Linked DNA regions of Coturnix japonica. The protein of the gene in region 2 interacts with the protein of the main gene of each other region in a pairwise test. Links are inferred from orthologs where the notes say so. Each region holds a gene or a part of one and is shown on either strand. Other genes may lie near its edges.

Region 1 (6,122 bases), on a different chromosome or scaffold from region 2:
GTGCCCTGTTTAAGCAGGTCTCGCCTTTCCTGTGGTGATGGCACCAGTCGTTAGAGCTGATGTGCCCCAGTTCTGGCTGCTGCATTGCTTCTCATGAGCAAGATGTGTTCCCAGGCAGAACGCTTGGCAAGTCTTCTCTCCCCCTTCCCTCTGAGCCTCTCACAGCCCTGTTACATGCACAAACACTGGAATCTCCTGGTGGGTGCTGTAGGGTTTGGGGGCTCTATTGGTTGTCTTTTGCCTTCTGTCCCTCACCCTCAGCCATCAGAGAAACTGAATGCGCTCAGTGCCTTGGTTGTGAGCTATTTCAGACATGGGTGGCTCCTAACTCAGTTTGCTTTGAATTCTTGTGGTTTCTGTTGGCCTAAGGCCTTAATTGCTGAAGTCAGAAGATGACTTCTCTCATCTGTGTGATAGATGAGAGACAGGAAATGGGCACATGGCTGTATCCCCTATGAGATATTTAGATTGGTGACTAAATAAATCTACAGCTTCTGGTCTGTGCTTCCTGTCAGTTGCTGGCTGGCTTGCAATGAGAGAAACTGACATGAAAATATCTGCATATCAAAATACATTACTAATAGATCAACCTGACGAATAAAACTGCCTGCAGCATGTGTGGGAAGGAGGGTGAGATGAGCTGGCAGTGAGTACTTGGGTGGGCTGGGTGCTCCAGCACATTTGTCTTTGGTGGGCAAAGCACTACGTGAGGAAACCAAAGATGCTTCACAACGTGCTGTTGGTAGCAGCAAGGTGACAAAGCTGGCCCATGTTTTCATTGTCAGCCTTTAGTGGAAGCAAAGGTCCTACTTCTTAAAGGTACTTGCGGTGAAACTTCTCGTGCTTTGATAGAAGGATAGAGCAGAGCCTCTAAGCTGCCTTTTATTTTTATGCATTGATGTTTCTGAGCAGCTTGTGGTAATGTGCCTGCCTGCTGTGGCTGATAAAAGAGAGCACCTTTTTTTGTGTCCTTGTTAACTACAGTACAGAGCTGAGTGTTGAATGCAGCTGTATCCGCCTTATGTAGTGCTTGTGCTGACCCTAGGGCAAACAGAGCAAGGAAGGGTGGACTCTGATTTTCATCGTGCCACATTATTCTTAAGCTTTTGGCTTGTGTGTGTATATAACATCAGTCATGTGCTGTCCTTACTTGCAACAAGAGTTCTACTGCACAGATGCCAGTCCTTGCCTAAGTTCTTGACCTGCCTGGGTCAAGCAGCATGGCTGTTCTGTACTGATGGGAGATATTGTGCAAGAGCACAACGAACTGTATTTGTTTAAAAAGCATTCAAGGCTACAGGGTGTAAATCCAAGTAGCTGCTTCTGCTGCACGAATTCAGAGTCGAGCATAATTACAACTTCTGTGGAAAACTAGTTTGTTCTGGTTGCCACAAATAGAAACCATGTTTTCATGCCATGTGTTCTTACTTGAAATGTGATTTCGGTACGTTTAAACAATGGTTATAGCTGCCCTTGTATTGCTGTGTGCTTGATGGAATAAACCACTGAACAAAGAGCTGTTTCTTGTGTTTACTTGGAACCCCACAGCAGTTTGGGTTGGAAAGACCCACCCCGTGCCATGGGCAGGGCTGCCCCCCACCATCTCAGCTGCCCAGGGCCCCATCCAACCTGGCCTTGAGCACCTGTAGGGATGGGGCACCACAGCTTCTCTGGGCTGTGGTGCCTCACTGCCCTCTGGGGAAAGAATTTCCTCCTACCATCTACTCCAAATATCCCTTATTTCACAGCTATTCCCCCTTCTCCTGTCACTATCACACCACGTAGAAAGTCTATTTCCCTCCTGTTTATAAGCTCCCTTTAAGTAGCAGAAGGCTGCAATGATGTCTCCCCACAGCCTCTGCCCTGAACAAGCTCAGTTCCCTCAGCCTGCCTCCATTGCTTCAGCTCCCTGAGCAGAATCGCGCCCTCCTCCGAACCCGCTCCAGCCTTCTTTTGACGTGCTGGGGGCCTGGACTCAGTACTGCAGACGGGCCCTCACAGCCTCAGCTTTTTCTTCCACTTAGGAAAGAGCTTTTAATTACGCGCGATGGCGCCGTGCCTCTACCACAGGGCGCCGCTCCACAGCCCGGTAGGCAGCGCGGGGCGGGGCCGCGCGTGCGCCTTGCGAGGGGCAACATGGCGGCGTGCGAGGCGTTGGGCGCGGCGCGGTACTTCACGCGCTGGTACAAGGCAGGTGCGGCGCGGCCGGGAGGGCGGGATGGAGCGTGTCCGGGGAGTCACCCTTACCCGTGTTTGTGGGCTCTCGCAGACGTGAAGGGGCGGCCGTGCGAGGATTTCTGCGTGCTGCAGCACTCCAACAGGCGAGTTGGCGGGCGGGGACCCGGCGCCCTCTGGTGGCATCGTGCTCCCCGCCTTCCCCCCCCTCAGCTCTGTGTATCGAACGGCGGTGTGAGGGGGGTGGGGGCGATGCCCGCAGCTGAAGCCTGGTTGTAGGTATTAAAACTCTACTGCACCGCTGCGGCACGGTGACTGTCGTTCTTGTTGTTGCAGGATCTGTGTCATCACGTTGGCAGAAGCCCACCCTCTTCTTCAGCATGGGAAAACAATCACAAGTATTAATTACCAAATCAGTCCCAACTGTAGCAGGCTTCAGAATAAGGTCTCTGGGAAGTCCAAAAGGGTACGTAATGTGTATAGCATGCAGAGGGACTTAAACATCCCTTAATAGATCCCTTAACTTGTTTTCAACCAAATGCTAAGGATTTGAGACTTTTTTTTCTAATCACAGACCCCTGGTCTGTGACAGGATGGGGGGAAATGGCCTCAAGTTGCACCAGAGTAAGTTTAAGTTGGATATCAGGAAACACTTCTTTACAGAAAGGGTTGTTAAGCACTGGAATAGGCTCCCCAGGGAGGTGGTTGAGCCACTATCCCTGGATGAGTTTAAAACCATTTGGATGTGGTACTCATGGACATGACTTAGTAGAGGGTTGTTAGGGTACTTTGGTTGGGTTGTGGTTGGACTTGATGATCTTGAAGGTCTTTTCCAACCTGAGCATTTCTATGATTCTATGTAAGTAAGTATAACCGTGGAACCCATAGTCACAGAATCACAGAATCACAGAATGACCTGGGTTGGAAGGGACCTCAAGGATCATGTAGTTCCAACCCCCCTGCCCAGCAGGGCCACCAAACATACACATTTACTAGATCAGGTTGCCCAGAGCCCCGTCCAACCTGGTCTTAAACACCTCCAAGGACGGGGCATCCACAACCTCCCTGGGCAGCCTGTTCCAGGACCTAACCACTCTCCTAGTAAAGAACTTCCCCCTAACATCCAACCTAAATCTTCCCTCTTTTAACTTAAAACCATTTCCCCGTGTCCTGCTATTGTCAGCCCTTTTGAAGAGTTTACTCCCCTCCTGGGTGTAAGTTCCCTTCAGGTACTGAAAGGCTGCAATGAGGTCACCCCGCAACATTCTCTTCTCCAGGCTGAACAAACCCAACTCCCTCAGCCTGTCCTCATAGGGGAGGTGCTCCAGCCCCCTGATCATCTTCGTGGCCCTCCTCTGGACCCTTTCCAAAATCTCCATATGTTTTTTGTACTGAGGGCTCCACACCTGGAGCTGTAGCTATCACACCTCCTTGCTTTGTTCTGTAACAGCTTGTGATGTTGCTGATGTTTATGAAACTATAAGAAGAGCCGTAATTAACTGTAATTAAGAACATGTATGTATTTTTTTCCCCATTCAGGGAGCTCAGTTTTTAACAGAACTTGCCCCGCTCTGCAGGATCGCTTCATCAGATGGAGAAGAATATACCATTTACAGGTAGGGAATACACCGTTTACAGGTAAAGATTTGCACACCCCCACCCTGACACACTGTGCACTTATTACTGAGTTTGAACACTTCTGCAGTTGCATACGAGGGCGACTGATAGAAGTGAATGAAAACATTCTTAGCAACCCAGCACTTCTGCAAGAAAAGGTGAGAAGCTTTTTAGCTTTTAGCCTTTATTTTACTACTTCAGTGCTAACATTGTTCCTCCATTGTAGCCGTCAACCGAGGGATACATAGCAGTGGTTCTACCCAAATTCGAAGAGAGCAAGAGCGTAACTCAGGGGCTCCTGACACCAGAAGAATACAAGGAGGTTTTATCGAAACGTCAGAATTCTTCTTCAGGAAGTTAATGATACAGGCAGCAGCTATGTTTGATGCTAAATAAGCTGCTTGTACCCAGCAGCTTTCATTGCATTGAAAGGGCTGCATTTATAAAAGTGGAACTTCACGTATTTGTTTTATTCTTGTATGAAATGGGGAAAAATAGTTTGTATATTAAAATCTGTTTTCTCTCAGTCGTAGTACGACATGTTTTTACATACGCACAGATTGATTTTGGAGAGTGGTTGTGTTCCAGGGACCTCTTTGCTCTTGGCTCAACGCAAACATAATACACAGAGAAAAAGCACAATTGAGCTGTCGGGTAATTTAGCCAAACTAATACAACGTGGGGTTTGACAGCAGTGAATTGAAAACAAAATGCAATAGGAGCCTGCCTATGATGAACAGATAACCTTGAAAGCAAGCATTTCACATCAGGTTACGTTTCCTAGCACCCTGAAGTCAAATAATGCCCTTTTTACAGACGTTTCTCATAATCAGTATTTACTTCAATGTTAAATGCTGTAAAGTCTACATGTAATACTTCAGTGGTTCTACATGCAATTCAAATCCTGCTCAGTACAGTTTAATCATAAAGGAAGCAACAACTGCCATCTACAGACAGAGACAGTGAAGGAGAAAGGCTTTGAGTCAAAAGTGTTAATCGCTTAGAAGTACACTTTGGAAATAGGAATAATGCCAACCAAACTAAGATTCAGCGCCAAGCTCTCGCAAGAGTGTTTTTTCTTAGGACTGAACTTCATTGTAGGTATAACTAACCTTAATTTCAGTGCTTTAGGCCACAGTGTTTCAGTCTACATTCCTGAATGGGCTTTATAAATCCATAGACTGAAATGGGCCAGAGAGGAGTTTACAAACGTCAGCAGTAGTGTTACATAGAGCACAGGGTTCTTTGTGTGAAGGGTCTGTTAGCAGCATCTTTGGGTTGAAACATCCATTAAGACATTCGTAAGCATGAATTACAAAACCAGTATCAATAGGGAGCGTAGGAAATTCACATTATGAAAATACATAATGATTACACTAGTTGGTGCTGTCATCGTTAAGTAACAGGACATCTATTAGATGTGACAAAGGTCAACAGGTTTAATTCAAATTAACCTGGGTTGACTTTCCACAAATGAAAGCAAAACTGAGAAACTTCAGCAAGTGTTATTTTCCCTAATGGAGCTTCTGCAATTTCTAAGTGCTGTAATTACTTGCTCTCTAAAAATGTCATTTTAGCCACGTGATTTTCCAAAGACTTGATACCAAACATCTCCACTCTTCTTTCTGGTGCGTGTGTGTTCATACCGCTTCGTGTTCTGCCTTCTCTCCATGGGGGGGCAGGTTTGAGATAGCCGTTCCCTGCTTTATTCTGTGTACAAAGACGACGTAGTGTAAAAAGCAAGCAAAAATATGCAACAACAAACAAAAAAAACCCAACTTTTAAGTACCAGATACTCACCTTTCTCATTAACTTGCTGCAAACTGGAAGCAGTTGACATAACAGAGTCATCACGTTCCTCGTTTTCTGAATGCATGCATCAACCTATAGAAGGCAATTAAGACAGGCCACTGATTGCCACCGTTAGGCAATGTGAGATGAAAACCTATTTTGAGCTTGAAATGTATACGAAGGACAAGCAAATCCAATCTTTTCTAGTCTGAAGGTTTTGCCCATCCTGTTCAGCTTCCTGCAGTGTTCATAATGTACATCATCCCTTCTCTTAAACAAAGGCAGCGGCTGTGAAGGAGAAGAGAATGATGCACATCCCAGGAGAGGGAGCTAAAAATGATATTAAAGGAGTAAGTGTGTGCCCCGGTGGTGCAGTGGTTAAGGATGCCGCCTTGCAACACTGGGGCCCGGAGTTCGAATCCCCCCTGTGGCGCAAGTGGTAGAAGTGCCTCTCTGCTACACAGAGGCTCGAATCCCGGGGGTTGGACTCGATGATCTCTAAGGTCCCTTCCAACCCGTACGAGACTGTGATACTATGA
Region 2 (5,479 bases):
TGTTTGACTATTCTAGTGTGATGTTATGGTGAAGTGTGCATGCTTCTTAGTCTACATTAGAAATAGGGCTTGGTTTAAAATAACAGGAATGAGAAACAACAACATCCAAATAAAACTCAGCTGTCAAACAAATTGTGCTGAGATGTTGGGCAAAATCAGGGCATTTTCCTCTCCTTAAAACTTGGCACTAATAGAGACCACATGACGATTTTGCCATTAGTTTTACAGGAAAGAAATGATAATTATCAGTCTTCATCAGCTGATAAGTGATGAACATGCAAAATTTTCATGTTAGTATGTATCTTTAAGCACCTGGAAATTAAGATGAGGGTGACAAATGCTGAGGGAGACAAAAAAGGCAAGATTTGGTAAAATCTGAGTTATTTGAAGGAATGCACTCATTTACAACAAACAGAGAGCAAATGTTGTGATGCCACCTCAGCAATGTTTACTGGGATAAGAAACACAAAGCAGAGACCTGAGTTTTGCAGTCTTAGTCATCTCACTTGTATTTGGATGAACTGTGAAGTTTAAGTGTCATTGTGGAAAGCACAATTTATGGTTTTAACCACTAAGGGATGTCAAATGGTCATCAGGAGAACCTGCCATTTATTCTGCTTCACTGACAATGCCTAATTATACTTCATGGACAAGCCCAGTCAGATTATTGAGAAATGCAGATTTTAAGGACTCTAAACAAAAATCTTTACATTTTCTATCCAGTTTATTCATCTTTTCAAAGCATTTTGGATAACACACCAGAAAAATATAGTTTGAGAGTCTAGCTAACTCTTGTATTCAGTTTTTGCATCTGACTGAAAAGGAATTAACTGCACTCAACAGGAGTTTCAAAATATTCTAGAACTGTCACAGAACTGATCCTCGTTATCTAGAGCTAGCAAAGCTGGTTCCACCAAATCTACTGGTGATGACCTATAAAAGGGGCCTTAATGTCCATCAGAAGCAAAGTGACTGGGAATCCCTCTGCCAGAGATCTGTCACACTGGGCGACAGCCAAGCCTGCTAGGGACTCATTCCAGGGCTTTCCATTGCTACAGCACTCCTTTAGATAGGGAGACATAACTATTTCTCCTAAATAAGTCAATTAAAAATGATCTGCCAACCCCAGATGTTGGGTGTAGAATGGAACAGAGCTAATACCAAAGTCAGAAGCAAGCATATGAACTGTTCTACAAGTCCCCTGGTGCCAAGCACACACATCCCTGATGGGTTTTGGCCAACACTGACACCTGAGGGAAAATTGGGAAGCGGATGCAATACCTGTCAGGAAGGTGTGTGAAGGAAGGGTCACCAACTTTAGGGTAGGTGAGGGCTCAGAGTGCGGGAAGGGGTATTCTTTTGCTGGAGAATTTAAAAAAGAAGTTGCTGTCAAGGGTTAAAAATAATCAAGAAAAATAGAGAATAGGCAAGAGTTAAAATGCAAAAAGAAAAAAAAGATAATATGTAAACAACCCAAATAGTGGCACACCGTGGCAGAACAATAAGAAGCAGGTACAGGGCCAAATAAATGTCAAGCTTTAGTTAATCACATCCTCCCCCCACCCCTTCTCCCTTTGTCTGTCAGCATCTTAGGGAGTGATCCTGAGCCACCCTGAACAGTGCTCCCAGGGATATGCAGAAGGAGCTCAGCACCTCACAGGAGGGTGCTCAGCATCTTGCTGAGCAGGGCTGACAAAAGGGATTACGATAAAGTGTACCGGGCGGGGGCTTACTGCTGTACTCATCTGGGTGCCAGATAAGCAACTCACAACATCTGTACCACAGGCTATCACAGAGACATTTCTTGCATAAAGAAACAAAAGGTGAGAGAGGGACACACATGCCTAGTTTTGTGGGGAAGCAAGTTGGTGCCTGATATATCAGAGCAATTGTTAAAGACCTGTACATCCTTTCTTGAGGGTGGATTACTAGCACAGTGCCAGGGCTGAGGAAAGCTCAAGTTATGCACGGTGCACTGGGTAACACTCTCCTAACATTTTTCATACATTGCGTGTGGCGTGAATGGTGTAACTTGCTTGTTTGGAGCAGATCCTCCTGTCTTCTTCTACCTTCTCTGCTTCTCTGCCTCCCTCTGAACATCTTCCCTCCTCCTCCCCATTGCGTACTTGCCAAGTGTCCTGTTGTATGACAATAAATCCATGTGGGTGAACGCTTGTTGCTCAACACATTCAAACAGGGGAGCTGTGCTCTTCCACTTTCCCCTTTACAATTACATCAAAGCAAAACAAGAACGAGAGACATCTGACTTGCGAGGCAGAGGGCCTCTGCATGTGTCACTGAACTCTCTCATTTGGGTACACATGGCTCAGCCATGACACTCACCTGCTCTGAGTAGTCATTGCCATCAACGTCGTCGCTGTTGGAATGACCTCCCGGACTCTGTACATCTATTCCATGGCTCTCCAGGATTGCTGCTTCTTCGAAAAAAGCAAATGGATCCCTAATTTATCTGATGCATTAGAGTAATTAAAAGTTAACTATTTTTTTCAAGAAGTTAGAAAAACTGGAAGAACAGAGTTAGTTCTTAGCCTCTTCCTCTTCACTCTCCAGTATTTGGGAAGGTAGCACATGAACAGATACTGGTTTGCCTGAAATCCTTCCCTGTCAACTAACAGACTTGTTTGCGAGTAAGAATCCTTGTTTTCCAGCCAGTCCTATTAGAAATTAGCTTAATTTCTAATGCACTGGAGTGGCAAAGGCATTCCCTGTAGATCTTCCCACATAGTTTGGACTGGCAGGACTTGAGGGGGGCGGGGAGTGTCTGAAAATAGATGGAGAAATTTTTAAAAGCACTTAAGGGATTTAAAAACAATACATCTTCATCTTCCAGAAGGATCCATGCATCTAAAGCTCCCTTTAGTTCTTTTTAATCTCCTTCCAACCCTCCTCCCCATACAGTACACATAACATACAGTACACATAACATACAGTACACATAAAGCCATAACACCACCCACCTTGGACTATCTTTGCTTTGTTCTCCCCCTCCCCCCTGACGTAAGACAGACAGGTTTCATTTTTGAAAAGTAAACGTAGATTAACCTTCAGTAACATGCTACATTTTGTACAAATAACTTGTTCATCTTCACAGATATGAGAAAAAGCAGCAAGACTGTATAACACTGCCAACATTTGCAAAAATACCATTAAACATGCAGATATGGGCCTTGTCTTGCCTACATGTTGCAAACTCAGTCCTGCACCAGTACTTAGACTTGTGCATAAAACTATGCCCAAACGGCTGAAGTTTGCTGGGTCCTGGCTGCTAAGGTGAGTTTACTCTCATCAGAACGTCTTGCATTTATCCATACGAGAAGGTCTATTTCTTATAAGTTCAGCATCACTTCTTATTTCCTTATGATGAGGTATTCATGCACAAAAGGCTTGCAGGGCTAGTTGTTGTTTTATCCTGATGATCAAGGAAAAATATCACCTTGCTCCAGACACCCAGTGCTGTGCAACCCTATAGAAAGCAGTAGGGAGCACAGGTGTAATGTGAATAAGAAGCTAGATTATGGAACCTGTGGTCCCAGTGGCCAAATCTGAGAGGTAAAACAACTCATCTGGTCTCTCAGATCCCAGTGTGGTCTGAGGGATGGCAGTAAAAGACAACCCTGGGTTTCAGTATTAAAAAGAAGTGCATTTCAATGGAACACAGACACAAGGAAACTTACAGCCATATAAAAGCTCCTCACTACAGCCACTTGTCACTTAATCAATACACTAAGGTTCTGAACTCGCAATAGTCTCAATTTCCCTTATTTTCAATGCAGACATTTTCAGGTTTAATGTCAGATTTTATCTGGAATGACCAGGTGAGTCCGAGTGCAGGGAATGCGATTCTCCCTCGGAAAACTCAATTCTTGTTTGGATTTTTAAAACTCATCTCCCAGTAAAACTTTGCCTCATTTTTCCTGCACCGATGATGGAATTCCAGACACTGAACTCCTACCCGTATTTGAGACAAAATCTGGAATAGCAAATCTTTTAAAAATTGCCCCACATTTCAATTAAGATTATCAGAACCTCCCGTATATTCAGTAATGTGATCCTGTGTAATTTTTATCTCTCCTGAGCAAGTCAATGTACTGAACCTTGAAAGCAGGCTCTCTGATACATTACCGATATTGGCTCGTCTCTTGATTTCCTTTCTTCTGTTGGCAAACCAGTTGTACACTTTAAGGGAGGTAACTCGCTCCAGATCTGATAACTTTTTTCCTATGAAAACAATGGGCAGGGGGGAAAAAGATAGGCAGACTAACCTTGTACAAGTGACAACTCCTGTAGTATAAACAGCACTGAAAAGCTGTTAGAACTGAGAATGAAGAAAATTTTATGTGAACCAGTACCGTGCCCAGATGCTATAGTAATAAATGCCAAATATCTCCCTAAAAACAAAGTAGCCTTTCTTCTATTTTTAAAATCTGAAATACAAGAATTTCTTTGCAGCTTCAATCAACCAAATCCTGAGCCGTGGGAGAATAGAGGGCTCCTTTTCTAGTTCAAGCACAAAACTGAGATTCAAAAACTCAAATTCAATTCACAGCCCTGCCATAAATCCCATACCCTTGGGCTAGCTCTCTTACTATGTGCAGCAAGGGTGCAGTTCAATGATGTGTTTTCTTTGGTAGCAGCAAAATGAATGAAGGAATTTTGTCCCTCCTCAGTCTGCTTTCCTTTTTCTCCACCAGCAGCAGCTATCGAACTCCCACAGCACTCATCACAGCCTTTCCATTCTGCCAGGACACTTCTTATCTTTTGGGGATGTTGGAAACCAGACCACTGGAGTGTTACACTTAAACCAGCAAAACAAATAAACCTAATAACAACCACCCAGCTACAGCAAATAACTCCTCTGCCTGATGACTGGCCTAAGAAGGGAAGACAGGGGAATCAGCATTGCAGGGACATGATGGAAACCTCTTCTGTTGGCTATAAGACTACCTGAGGTGGCTGATGTAGCTGCATCTCCAGTTCCCTGCAGCCTATACAAGGATGAGACCCTCACTGTGTGCTTCTGTGTCCACTAATCTGGGCTTACTAATACTAAACTGAGAATTCATGCTGCTCTACCAAGTATAATTGCTCTGTGAAAAGGGAAAATGCAACTTGTTGATTCAAATACAAGTTCTCCCATTAACTCTCAGATTCTAACACAACACTCCTGTTTAGAAGTTGCAAAAAAACCCTGAAAGGTGGGAAAGCTGTGGTTTCATTTTTTAACTCTTCTGAGAACCACATGATCTCCATCAAACTTCAGTCTGTTACCTAAGATCTCCCATCTGTGAAACAGAACCAAGTAAAATTCCCTTTCAGGGAGTGTAATGACATTTCCAGATCGTTCCTAAGTGCTTGCAGAAATACTTTGAAATAAGTGACCCGACCTTAAAGGAATGAAAGCCTTTCACGGCATGTTTATTTTCTTAGCAACGTCATTTACAAAGCTGCATACATGAAA
Region 3 (6,190 bases), on a different chromosome or scaffold from region 2:
TGGAAAGGAGCTGCTGCCGCCTTTGCCCCTCAGCCTCCTGAGTGAGGGCAGGAACCCTGATCACAAGTGATGCAGCACCCTTGGCAGTTTACCTTTCTCAGGCCCGTTGCTGCTAATGTTGTGTTGCTGCACTATTGAGGTGAGGGGAAGTGATTGGCCAGGGCAGGGTAACTCCACTACTGAAATTTGTAAGAAAACAATTGTTTTAATCAAAACAATCCCATCCCCCTGTACAGATAGAAAAGCCAAGCCCTGCAAAAACAGGGTTAGGAGTCTGTCACAGCTGTTCCCACCCAAAGGAAGATCCAAAATGACAATGGGGAAAGGTAGGAGGAATAGAGAGATACTGTGGACCAGACAGGGATAAGTGTCTGCTAGTTCCTCTGAAGGTGGGGATGCTGGAGCAGGGGGTGCTGTGCTTCTGTACAGCTGCTCTGGTGCTGCCAAGGCTCTCGCAGGCTGGTGGGGTGGTGACATGACCATGAGGCTGCTCAGCATGGCTGGAAGTCATCTGCCACAAGAACCAGCGATGGGAGTCTGCCGAGTCTCTGCAGTATAGGTCATGGATCATGCCACCAACTAACAGGGAGGATGCAGTGCAAGGGCCCAGAGGGACAGCTGATTGTGGCACGAGTCCTGGTGCGGTGTTTTGTCCCTGCTGTTCCTGCCCAGGCTCTCAGGCAGCTGATAAAGCAGTGCCTCTCTGCCCAGTCAGCCACAGGACGCCCTCCTGTCTGCTCCCTTAAGTGGTCTTCCGCTTCTTGGCCGAGGGTCTCTCGAAGACATCCCTCACGCCTGCTGCTTTCTGCTTGAAGAATTTAGTGTTCTGTGCACTTTCTTGGCCCCAGGCAGAGTCAAACGAGGTGGTATCCTGGTCTACCAAGTGCGTGTACTTTGTCCGTCCTGAGCGCCCAAAGTTCTTGACCTGGGAGGCAGGAAAGATTGTGAGCATCAGTTGGTGTACGATGTGGGGACCCTATCATGTCACTGCTCCTTCCCTCGTGAGATCCCACCGATCCCACGAGCCCCAGCTGAGCAGCACTGGTGGAGCTGGGGCAGCGCACAGACCTGCCACACACCCACCTGCATGACTTTGGGCAGGATAGTTTTGTTGAAGTGGTCCTCGAGGGTAGGGGCACTGAAGTCCCGCTTGTACACCTCCTCATCTTCGTCCTGCGGAGGAAGGACACACCTGCTTGACTTGCAAGTTTCCAGCAAGTGTCAGTAGAAGACAAGTGGAGAAGAGCTACCGAGAACCAGCTGTCCTGGGACTGCTGCTCCATGCAGCAAGTCCCTGACGAACTGCATTCGTGTCTTTACTCACCCTGCCTGCCAGACCTGACAGGCACCTCAGATCCCCTCAGTCACTTCAGCAGCACGCTGCTGTTGAGGGCCAGCTCTGGTCCTGTGTGCTTGGCCAGCCCTTACTTGGGTACCACTAGGGAAAACTCCCCCAAAACAGCCACGTGGTCCACGCAGCCCCAGGCCTGGCAGCAGAACTCACCATGAAGAAGGCGCCACGGTGGTAGTACTTCTGCAGGAACTTGTATTTGCCCTTCACTGCCTTGTTGGTGATGACTTTGCCGTTGGCTCGCAGCTCGGCACGGCGCTCCTCCTCTGTCAGGTTCCTCATCCGCTCGATCTCTGCCTTCTCTTTCTCCATGCTGGGCAAAAGAGAAACCCTGAGCCCCTGCATCCCTCAGTGCCCTCCCAAGATGGGACAGCTGCTGCCACCCGGGACTTTCTGACGAATACGTTGACTGACTCCATAATGGAGTAAAGCACCTCAAGAAAATTCCTGATGCTGCCAAAACAAAGACTGAGAAAGAGACGCCTCAACTGCCCGCTGTCCTGCAGGGCCTGGGACTGCAGGGACCCTCCCCTGCCTTAAGCAGACAGTACTTACGCTTCTCGTTCTTCACGATCCCGTTTGATGCGCTTCAGCTCACGTACTTTCCAAGCCTCGTACTCCTCCTCATCATTCTCATCGTCTGTATCGAGAGCATCAAGTGCTGCCAACGAGCGCTTATTCTCTTCCAGCTCCTTCTTTGCCTCCTCTTCCACGATCTGAAGCCAAGACCAAGCTCAGCTCACTGCAATGGCTGCCCCAACATGCATGCCCCAGTCTGCCCCGCTGTACCTTGAGTGTGTACTTGCGCCTCTCTTCTGCTAATCTCTTTGCCTCCTGTTCTAGCTCCTTCTGCTTCAAGGCTTCTGCTTCTCGCTCCTGAACTGTGATCCGGTCCTTCCTGTGAGCAGGGACCACAAAAGCCTTCAGCCTTTCAACATGCCACTGCAGACCTCTGCTCCCACTGCAGCCTCTTTTAGTCTTTATGCCCCCCACGGCAGGGCCAAGTCCCAAGGCTCTCTCCTTTCTGATTTTGCTCATTCAAGAGCGACCATACTCAGTCTCCTCACATCTGCAGACATGCACAAAGGTGATGGGAGACCCTGCTACTGGCTGTGGAACATGTTGGAGCACACTACCTGGTTTCTGTTGTGCTGTACCTGCCTAAAGTCCCCAGTTGGAAGTACCCAGCCATGCCCTACCAGGTCAGTCACTGCCCATCCCTGATGCAGTGCTTGGCCCATGCAGCTGTATCACCTTATCACCTACTTGCGGATGAAGACAGGTTTGAGACGTGGCTCCATTTCATCCTCGCTGTCTGTGTACTCCTCGTACTCAGACTCTGACTCAGACTCTTCTCCAGATCTGCCCTCATCTTCCAGCTCCATCACTTCCAGCTCCTCAGTTTTTCTCTCCTGCGCTCTCTGACGCATCATCCCACGCCGACGCTCGATCTCCTAATGGAGACACATCAAACACAGACTCAGCCAACCAGCCCCACTATCGCTTCCTTCCTTTTTCCATATAAAAAGCATGATGTTGAGCTTATATGATATGATGTTGACTGCTTATATAAGCCCACACCTCAGAACGCAGGTGACCTCCCTGGTGCCCCATAACCCACAGGCTGTGGTCACACCACAGCTGGCTTTAACTCAGGTCCCAACATCCACCCAGTCTCACCACAGTTCACGTGTGTCTGCAAGCACGAATTCCAGACAGGGCCTAAGGGGACTTTCCCAGGCCACATCTGCTCAGCAATATAACGAACCTCATCATCGATCTCTTCCTCTTCCTCTTCACTGGTGTCCTCTCTCTCCACACGCCACGCTTCACCTTCTACCTCAGAATCACTCTCTCCGACCACTTCAGGCTCCACAATTTTGCGGTGTCTTGCCAGCCTGCAACAAATGTCCACTCGACTACGAAGCTCTGAACACAAGGAGACTAAAGAAGAGAAATCTTTGCGATCTGTTTCTAATGAGACCGTAGTCAGACCCGGGACCACGAAGCGTGTGAAGGAAAGAGGCATCCCCTGCGTGCTCAGGAGCCCGGAAACACAAAGCTGGGGGGGAGCACGAGGAGGGAGCAGAGCCCGGAGCCGAGCACTCACCGCTCCTCCACGTCCTCAGTGATGCGGTTCTGCAGCCGCCGCAGCCGCGGGTCGTTGGCGACCTCCTCCTCCTGCTCCTCGGGCTCCACCTCCTGCTCCTTCGCCTTCTTGATGAACTGGAACTCCTCGTCCTCCTCCTCCGAGGATTCCATGGGCGCGTAGTCGGGCCGCTTCCCCGACACGTACCGCTTCACCTTCACCTTCTCCATAGACAGCTCGCCTGCGGGAGGGGGGGGAACAGCAGCGGGAGGAACAGCAGCGGGAAGCCATGAGCAGCCGGGCCATGAGCAGGGCGCCATGGGCAGCCGGGCCATGAACAGCCGTGAGCAGCCATGGGCAGCCATGGGCAGCCGGGCCATGAGCAGGGCGCCATGGGCAGCCATGTGCATTCATGCCATGAACATTCACGCCGCCGCCGTGCCCGCGCCCCCCGCCCCTCCCGGCGCCCCGCACTCACCCTTCTCATTGCGGACGGGCACGGCGCCCGCCGTGGACTGGATGGGCGGCTGCTTCACGAGAGCGCTGGGGGCCGACATGGCGGCGGGACGGGACGGGACGAACCGCAGCCGCTCACAGCACCGACCGACCGACAGACCGACAGACCGACCGCTCACCCGGAACTGCAACTCCCGCTTCCGCCGGCGTACCGGAAGTGAACGCGCGCCGAACCGTCGCAAGCCGCCGGAAGTGACGCTCAGCGTGGAGGTCATTTCCGGCTCCTGTGGCCGGATGTGGAGCTGGTTTCGGCCCGGTCCGGTCGCGGTGCAGCGGCGGTTCCCCTCAGGGCTCGGTTCCCCTCAGGGCTCAGATCGGCCCCGCTGTGATCTCTCCGCTCATCGCTTCGGGGCTCGGGAGTGGTGACGTGCTGCGGAGCCGGCCGCACGTAGCCCCGGCCCGCGCCGGGTCCCTGCCCGGGATTCCCGGGGCCGGCTGCCGAGTCCTGCCCCTGCTGCTCGTGTGGCTGCGGCTGGAGGCTGCGCTCAGTGTCGGTGCTGAATACCGGGTTACCATCGGTGCTGAATACCGGGTTACCATCGGTGCTGAATACCGGGTTACATCGGTGCTGAATACGGGTTACCACGGTGCTGAAACGGGTTGCCCATCGGTGCTTGGAATGCCCGGGTTACCATCGTGCTGAATGCGCGGCGTACCTCGGTGCTGAATTTACCGGTTACCATCGCTCTGCAGGGCTCTCCCCGGGCTGTCCCCCGCCCTCTGGCTGCCAGGACTTTCCCGCAGCACCGGCCCAGGGCAGAGGGAATTACCCGCAGGAGCAGCCCCTACATGGAAGCGGGCAGGTTTCCTGCCCCAGCTGTTGCTGCTCACGTCAGAGCCCTTCACACACCAGTTGGGTTTCGCAGGAAAGCAGCCCAGCGCCAACTCGTAGCAGCTGCCCACGCGGTAGCAGCCAACCACAGGAGATAAGATTTCTCTTGAAGCCAGGAAAAACTGGGTCACCAGCCACCACAACCGCGTCTGCAGCGCTGCGGTGCCTCCCCAAAAGAAGGGAAGAGGTTTTATCTTCCGGGAAATCAGCACGGGGGTGCCAGGCAGTGAGACCTGCTCCTGGGGACTGACCTCAGCATTCCCTTGTGCTGGCAGGGTGGGTCCCCTGGGCACAACAGCTCCTGGGTAAGCCTGACCCTGCTGGTGCTGTGGCAGGAGAAGAGCTGCCACTGAGCAGGCCCAGGCAGAGCTTTTGGCCGCTCCAGGGTCCCTGTGATTCTGCTGTGCGTGCAGCCAGACCCCAGTGCTGCAGTTGTCCCGCTGCCTCGGGCACTGGTGGCTTTGTGCTCCTGCAGCAGCAGTGCTTGGGGGTAGGCAAGTCCTTCCTGGTGTTCCTGGCCTTGATGTCCCGATGACAATTAGAGCTCTGTGCCCAGCTCCTGCTCCGCTCCCAGTCATCAGCTGAGATATCAATTTTGTGTGGTTATCACAGCGTGTTCCTACCTAATGGTTCCCGTGTCACCATGGCAAGGAGCGAGCTTCAATGTATGACTCAGTGAGTGAAACAATTAGGCACAATGGTTACAGGAAAGCTTAGGAATTGCACACAAAGCACATCGTGTCCTGATCAGGTGAAGCTAAACTCAAGACCTCAGCAAACAGGAAAATGCTTCCTGGCTGGCTTCGATGCTGTGCCTCAGGGGTTTGATGCGGTGACAAGAAGCAGCCCTGACCCTTTGGTGTGCTTCTCTGCCCTGTGTCCCACGGAGCCGCACACGGCTGCAGCAGGAGTGAGGGGCTGGGAGTGGCAGAGGCGGTGTTTGGGCTGTCTGGGGCAGGGGACGCAGGCTGATACAGCTGAGAATGCCCCCAGCCTGCTAGAGCACGTGGTGAGGGGGCTTTGGGGGCAGTGTGTGGGCTCTGCTGCCTGTCCTGCAATCAAAGTGTGCTCAGAACCCATGCAGCGCACTCAGATCGGGTGGGCTTCCTTTCCCCTGGGTGGCTGCAGAGCAGATGGGGGCTGGAGATGGCAGCTGTGATACTTCAGCAGCCTCGTGGCAATTGATGACAAAGGCAGAAGGCAGATAAAGTTACAGAGACACGTTGTGCCGCTGCTGTTTGTCTGCAGGCTGCACCGCGGGGCAAGGTCAGCGCCGGATCCCCGGCCCGATGTTGTGTCTGGGAGTGCGGGGCGGGCAGAGCCTCCCATCCCACCGCAGCCACGTGCAGCGCAGCCCCCGCGGCAGCCCAGGCTCCCCGCACTCCCCCTGAGGCCGCTCAGT
Region 4 (6,124 bases), on a different chromosome or scaffold from region 2:
GGAATGGGATTTATTTTCTTTATGGGAATTTTCTTGTATGCTTTTGGGATCCCCCTCTCTTCAAATCTGGCATAGCCAAGGTATGTTCCTGCAGCCAGCTGTTTCAAGCTGTTGGTTAAACATTAAGTTTCCCATCTCTTAACAAGGGAAGAAAACAGTTCAGTCTCTTAATAACGACTAGCTATTCCATTTCTGTTTGTAATCATTATTCCAGTCATCATCACACCAAAGACATTTAACATTATTGCTTTCTAGGAGAAAATTAACAAACTTTGAGGCTACAAGGGTTTATTAAGCTTATAATCTTCTCACACTTTTAAAACTATCAAGCATTGAGAATTATACTTTCATTTTTATAATATGTTTTGGTTTTTATAAACTATAACTGAAGCATGCATTGACAGAATGGCTTCCCAAAGCCATTAAATAGAGGGGGTAGACCAAGACCTGCTACCCAGGTTGGGGGTAGACCAAGACCTGCTGCCTGTTGCCACAACTGAGCAGTATTTCCCTTGGTGTAGATTTAAGAGAACCTAAAATTAGAAAATAAGCACTTTCCTCTAGGGAATAATCTACAGTTCCCTCTGCTGGGGTATTTTGGATGGCAATGGCTGATCCGGCAACTTCAAAATGTACCTCACCTCATCCATAGCAGACCAAAGAACCCTTTCCCACATTCCATGTGTTAGAGATTAGATCTGATACTTAAAATTCCCTCTTCATTTGAAGAATCTATTTGTGATTCTACTTGAGGTGGAAATTTATGGCCTGAAACCTCATAAAATTTCTTCACAAATCATTCGGAATATTTTTATGTAGCCATTGTTTCTGTCTTTGAGTTTTATTTCTTCCTACAAGAACATCTAGTAATGTAAAATTATCTCAACGCGTTTGCTCCTATGTTCAAAACCAACCTGAGCTGTCGTGCACCAATTCATCCAACACAGCAGGGCTGTAAGAGCACAAGAGATTTAGAACTCCTCCACGTGGTATTGGTTGTGCTTTCCCTGATCCCACCATTGCACGTTTGATTTACAGCATTAATTTGCAGAGCACTTTGCCAAGAGGACAGGTAAGGCACGCCATGCTCACACCAAACAGCATCTCATGAGGGGGAGTCATTAAAAGAGATAATACGAGGGGCTTATTTTGAAGAGGTTTAACTTCAAAGAGGGGGAAGGTGTCAGACAGACTCGGTTTGGCTCAGTCATAGTAAGAAGGCACAAAGCTCAAAGAGGAAAGAAAAGTGACTGTATCTGCACAAAAGAAATGACAACCCCAGCTCTTGCTTGTGTTATTCATGACAGCATCGAAAAACCAATTAAGATAAGGCCCCAAGTGTCAGATTCCTGCGTAAAGAATAGGAAACAGTTCTGAAGCCCTTATATTGGAGGTGAATTAAAGAGAGAAGGGCTGTACAGAGTAATATAAAACCAAACTAACACGTTTTCTTGTATATTATATTCGCCATCGCTTGAATTCGACCTTAAAAGACATAAACCCACGTGGAGCTGCAAACACAGAAATGAGAGATGGAAACAGGATGAGGAAAGAAATAACGGACCTGAAACGGCACCTGAGCCCGTCAGCTTTAAGGGCCGTGTACCAGCAGTGACCCAACTCTTCTACTCTTCGCAGCATCTTTGGCCTGTACCCGGGCCCAGCCCCTCTCAGGGTCCATCCCACCTTCCCCATGAGCCCCCCAGGCCCCACCCCCCCGTTCCTAGGGGTTACCAGGCCCATCCCGCCCCGTTCCTACTCAACTGCTGCCAGGCGACCGCGGCGCCTCACCCGCCCCTTGTACCGGTCGCGGGGAGGCCCAATCCTCCTCCGTTCCATCCCCGGATCCGCCTCAACCTCCCCCCGCCGCTGTCGCAAAACGCTCTGTCTTCACTTTACGGCAAAGGTTGGGCCAAGAGCAGCGGGCGGAGCTGCCGTCAGCCTACTGACCAATCAAAAACTCCGGCGGCGAGAGGTTGGGGGCGGGACCAAAATGGAGACCTTTGATTGGCTGTTGGGGAGGTCAGTCCCTGCCCGCTGACCCCGCAACGAGCCGCGGGGGGCGGCTGGGTGCAAAGTGTCCCCGCACGGTGCGGCCCCTTAACGCGGCCGGCACGGCCCGGCCCCGCCGCCGGCACCCGGTCACTCAGTCAGTCAGTGCAGCCGGCACTCAGTCAGTCAGCGCAGCACGGAGCCCACCGGCTCGCAGGTAACGGCCCCCGGCCGCCCCTCGCTTTCCTCCCGGTGCCGCGACCCCGTGGCCTCCTGTCCCTTCCTCAGCGCTCACCTCAGCCCCGGGGCTGCGCTGACAGGGTGGGAGGGCTCGGCCTCGGTGCTTCATACTGAGCCCCTCTGTGAGGTGAACTAACCCTTCCTGACCCATCCGTGAGGGCTTTTCCTGCTTCTTCCTGCTGTTCCTTTAGTATTATGCTTAGCTTCTGTGTTATATCGTGGCTCAGTTCTACTTTTGTGTGTTTTTTTTCAGGTTTAAGCTGCCTTCAAAGCAGGACTGCAAAGAATGGAATGAGGCTGAAGAGAGAAAGCAACGCTCACGAGAGCCCAACAAGGTGATAATCTGCGTCGAATTATCCTTGCTGCAGTAGAATTCTCCTTGCTGCATGGTTTGCCTGTGGTCCTCAGTGTGGTGGGTTCCATGGGCATTATTGGGTCTCTTTGTTCTCTCAGAACCTTCGGGCTTCTGAGCGTTGGTTTTAGAAGCTCTGGAGTCCAGTTGGAGGGTCCTTTCCTCCTTGTTACGGTTTGTTGTCTGAATCTGATCTGTACACGTGATTCTGATCACAAATTACTCCTTAAAGTGTGTTGGTGTGTCTTCAGCTCAGGTATGTCGTAGAATCGTAACGTGGTTGGATTGGAAGGGACCTTGAAGATTGTGTAGCCCCACCCCCTGCTGTGGGTTCGTTGCCCCCCACCATCTTGGGCTGCCCCATCCACCTTGGCCTTGGACACCTCTATGGGATGGGAAGTGTCATTTAACATGACCTCACTCAGGGCAATGGTGAGCGTCCCTTCAGCCTTCCCTCCCATTGACATGACTTGTTCCTGCTCTGGTTCTGCAGATGTTGCTGCAGTAGGTCATAGTGATTAGGTTTTGTTGGTTTTAGTTGCACCAAACTTCTGTGTGGGTCAGGGTTTTTGTATTATAACCGAGCTGCAAAAATTCCAGTGGATTTAATTGGATGGTGTTTGTTTACAAGTACTTTGTGGGTTGAGATGACAGAATAAGATAATGCTGTTGGATGCTTAAGGGGAAAAAAATGAAAGGAGTCATCAGAAACTGAGTCCTGCTGTGAGAGGAGGATGGTGTGGTTTCAGAGCAAGAGCAGCTCGTAGGGAGGATTCCTGTTATATATGTGGCTGGGAGGTAAAGAGATGAGCTTTGGAAGGAAAGAGAATGGGGGGTGGTTAACGTCAGTCAGCATTATTCTGCATCCCACTGTTATGTGCTCCAAGTAATGGCACTCATGCCTGTTCTAATGCAAAGACTGCACTGATTCTATTGTAATCCATTTCAAAGGTAGATGAGTTTGTGTTATTTTGGCAAATGTATCCTCAATATGGGTCCTACTGGTCTTTGTCTTGTTTTCAGAGATGTCACTGACTGCACCAGAATGGTTTTTGTTGTCAGAAATGAATTCCTTCTAGTGTTAGTTGCAGTGGAAAATGCAGTACCTGTTGCTGTGGTCAAGGGTGGATCTTTATTCTGATGTATCTTCAGCGTATGGTGGAAATGTTGTTTTCACTGTTGTGCTGTAAAGATGAAGTGGAAAATTCCCCCGTAACACAAGGACAACAAATTCTGTGGTATATACTTTAAAAGCAGAGCGAAGAAATAGTCTGTGCTGTTTTGATAGCATACCACAAAGCCAGTTGTATGATGCTGGAACATGCAGACAGGCCCACTGTGATTGCAGGAGTGGCTTCTGTGCTGTTAGATAAGACAAGTGCATTAATGCTGACTTTTCAGTGCAGCCATGGTGCACCTGTTTCGTACAATGTTGGTTTGTTGTAACAACCTCTTTGTAACCCCTCTGTCACATCTAACATCAGACCTTGCATCATTGTAGCTACTCAAAGAGTGCAACATCTTGGTGCTCCTAAGCCACTAGGTCTTTTGAGAAATGTGTTTGTGAGTTGCTAGGCTCCTTCCTGATGTGAGATGCCAATGCAATGAAGTTTGATCCAGATGCAGAGGCTGGAACTGGGTTCACAGGCACTGGGGCATGAGCTTCTGCCAGCAATGTTCATGTGATCCAAACAAGAAAGAGAGACAAATGATGTGCTGTAGCCTTCCTCTCGGGCTCTGGAAGGAACACAGCATGTTGCAAGTAGAGCTACCCCCTTAGATTAAGTTGCATATCCAGTGTTTTTCTTATTTTTAGCTTCAGGTTACATACTCACTGTTTTTGTTTTTCCCAATTGTGAATTCTAAACCCTTAAAGCAAATGTGTGGAGTGAGAGGCTGTTTTCTGTTCCAGCATTTGCTTGCAGAATGGCATTATTGTAGTGAAGCACCATTGCTTTATCTGCTCAAGTCATCCAATTAGTTCTGTCCAGTTTGGTTCTTCTAGGCCCTATTAAAAAAAAATCAGAGCAAATACACATTTTGCAGAGGCTGTTAAATAAAATGAGCACCATAAGCAGCGCTCTTTTTGCTCATCAGTTGTATCATGAGTAGTAGGACTGAAACAATTGTTGTAGTGAGGTTTAAACTAGTTTGTAGGGTTTTTTTCCTGCTTCTGTCATTCAGTGGAAAGTTGGTGTTTGGATACTTGAGTGATAGCAAGTAATATTAAAATGGGTGAATCTTACACCTTAACACTTGCTCTGAATTACTGCTTACTTTTAAGGTTAAGTTTTCTCTATATTTATACTGTTTGAAGCTTGCTAACGGTAAGTCAGCAGTGGGGCTGCCTTTTATGCTTGATCTCAAAGCGTGCTGCAGGCTCCCTGCAGGTGCTCTGTGCAGGCTGGGAAAGGAGCATTGCAGCTGTATGAACTGATGCAACGTTCTCACCTGCAAAAGATCAGTAAGGCCTTCCTTCAGCACTAACAATGAGATTATTAGATCTATGGCGTTTTCTTCACAAGGTCCCACTTGTGGATAAGTTTACCAGTGTACAGATGAGGATTTTGGGGATGGTTTGAGCTGATTTGTTAACAGTGGGTAGTGAAGATGATGTCTTAGCTGTTGCTGTCCTGTTTGCAGACCTGCAGTTACTTGAGCTGGGCAGTTTCCCTAGCTCTCCATCAGGCCCAAAAGTCAGACCTCACATCTCACCATTACATGGGTAACAGTTGGTAAAATGATACCTACAAACTTCAGTTTTGGTCACCTGCAGAATGTAACAGCACAACAGCTGCTTGTTAGTCTATAATGGCAGCATGATTGGTACTACACACACCTGAAGCTGATGAAGCACTTTTAGGTTAGCTCTGTTACCTTAAATATGTCTAAACCAGAAGTTGGCATTACAGATACATTCCTTATGAGTGCACAACTTCTAATGATCACTCATGAAGACTGCAGCTTCTTTCCTTTGAAGTTGTTCTCTTGTGGTGTTTAGGAGGATTCGTGCATCATGGACTCACTGCTTTTGGTGCCAGGAGTATACATTAAAGCTTTGGTGACTTAGAGACTTGAATGCCTCACTTGATGTCCAGGATATAGCATAGAGCAGCTAACATAAGATATATTCATAGAATAGCTTGGGTTGGAAGGGGGCTCAAAGATCATCTGGTTCCAGCCCCTCACAATTGTAAGGCCTTGTGAAATACTAGCATTTCATGCTTTTTTTTTCTTTTTTTTGCAGACATTGGTTGGAATATAAGAACACAATAATATGGTTGTTGTTCTTTCTCCGTCCATAGAGCTTAAAAAATAGGAACCTAAGTGACACAAGAAGATGATAGTTGCATTTGAGCTCTTTGTCAAACACGTACTGTCCATTTTCAAAATGCCATTTGAATGAGAACACATTCAGCTTGTTTGAGTCCTGAAAGGGATGAGGAAAAGTGGGTTGTGAGAATCATGAATGCTGATTACCCTTAATCCACAGGACTTTCTTCTATGTTATTTCTTCGGTTTAAATGTATTAGAATACTT

What was found.
Region 1: the proteins of HMBOX1 (region 2) and ABITRAM interact in binary tests that used the Homo sapiens proteins (3 or more experiments, as listed by UniProt). The two-hybrid records come from large-scale screens. The link is inferred for Coturnix japonica from reciprocal best matches to the Homo sapiens genes HMBOX1 and ABITRAM.
Region 3: the proteins of HMBOX1 (region 2) and MFAP1 interact in binary tests that used the Homo sapiens proteins (3 or more experiments, as listed by UniProt). The two-hybrid records come from large-scale screens. The link is inferred for Coturnix japonica from reciprocal best matches to the Homo sapiens genes HMBOX1 and MFAP1.
Region 4: the proteins of HMBOX1 (region 2) and ASB7 interact in binary tests that used the Homo sapiens proteins (3 or more experiments, as listed by UniProt). The two-hybrid records come from large-scale screens. The link is inferred for Coturnix japonica from reciprocal best matches to the Homo sapiens genes HMBOX1 and ASB7.

What each region holds. Positions count from the first base shown.
Region 1 is NC_029517.1:79,740,486-79,746,607, reverse strand, and holds ABITRAM (protein Abitram), read left to right. Parts: upstream 1-2,106; 5' UTR 2,107-2,136; coding exon 2,137-2,194; intron 2,195-2,269; coding exon 2,270-2,321; intron 2,322-2,511; coding exon 2,512-2,641; intron 2,642-3,714; coding exon 3,715-3,791; intron 3,792-3,880; coding exon 3,881-3,950; intron 3,951-4,018; coding exon 4,019-4,153; 3' UTR 4,154-4,318; downstream 4,319-6,122. Other genes in the region: CTNNAL1 (alpha-catulin), read right to left, coding at 5,341-5,502, 5,593-5,676. UniProt on the Homo sapiens protein: Actin-binding protein that regulates actin polymerization, filopodia dynamics and increases the branching of proximal dendrites of developing neurons.
Region 2 is NC_029518.1:96,913,213-96,918,691, reverse strand, and holds part of HMBOX1 (homeobox-containing protein 1), read right to left. Parts: coding exon of another isoform or gene 5,426-5,479; exon of another isoform or gene 5,407-5,425; intron 4,240-5,406; coding exon 4,144-4,239; intron 2,439-4,143; coding exon 2,344-2,438; intron 2,139-2,343; coding exon 2,007-2,138; intron 1,363-2,006; coding exon of another isoform or gene 1,318-1,362; exon of another isoform or gene 1,282-1,317; intron 1-1,281. UniProt on the Homo sapiens protein: Binds directly to 5'-TTAGGG-3' repeats in telomeric DNA. Associates with the telomerase complex at sites of active telomere processing and positively regulates telomere elongation.
Region 3 is NC_029525.1:18,262,904-18,269,093, reverse strand, and holds MFAP1 (microfibrillar-associated protein 1), read right to left. Parts: upstream 4,105-6,190; 5' UTR 3,998-4,104; coding exon 3,919-3,997; intron 3,682-3,918; coding exon 3,462-3,681; intron 3,250-3,461; coding exon 3,120-3,249; intron 2,806-3,119; coding exon 2,618-2,805; intron 2,250-2,617; coding exon 2,141-2,249; intron 2,068-2,140; coding exon 1,907-2,067; intron 1,665-1,906; coding exon 1,505-1,664; intron 1,174-1,504; coding exon 1,084-1,173; intron 926-1,083; coding exon 743-925; 3' UTR 181-742; downstream 1-180. UniProt on the Homo sapiens protein: Involved in pre-mRNA splicing as a component of the spliceosome.
Region 4 is NC_029525.1:15,697,652-15,703,775, forward strand, and holds the start of ASB7 (ankyrin repeat and SOCS box protein 7), read left to right. Parts: upstream 1-2,020; 5' UTR 2,021-2,209; intron 2,210-2,485; 5' UTR 2,486-2,567; intron 2,568-2,737; exon of another isoform or gene 2,738-2,840; intron 2,841-6,124. UniProt on the Homo sapiens protein: Probable substrate-recognition component of a SCF-like ECS (Elongin-Cullin-SOCS-box protein) E3 ubiquitin-protein ligase complex which mediates the ubiquitination and subsequent proteasomal degradation of target proteins.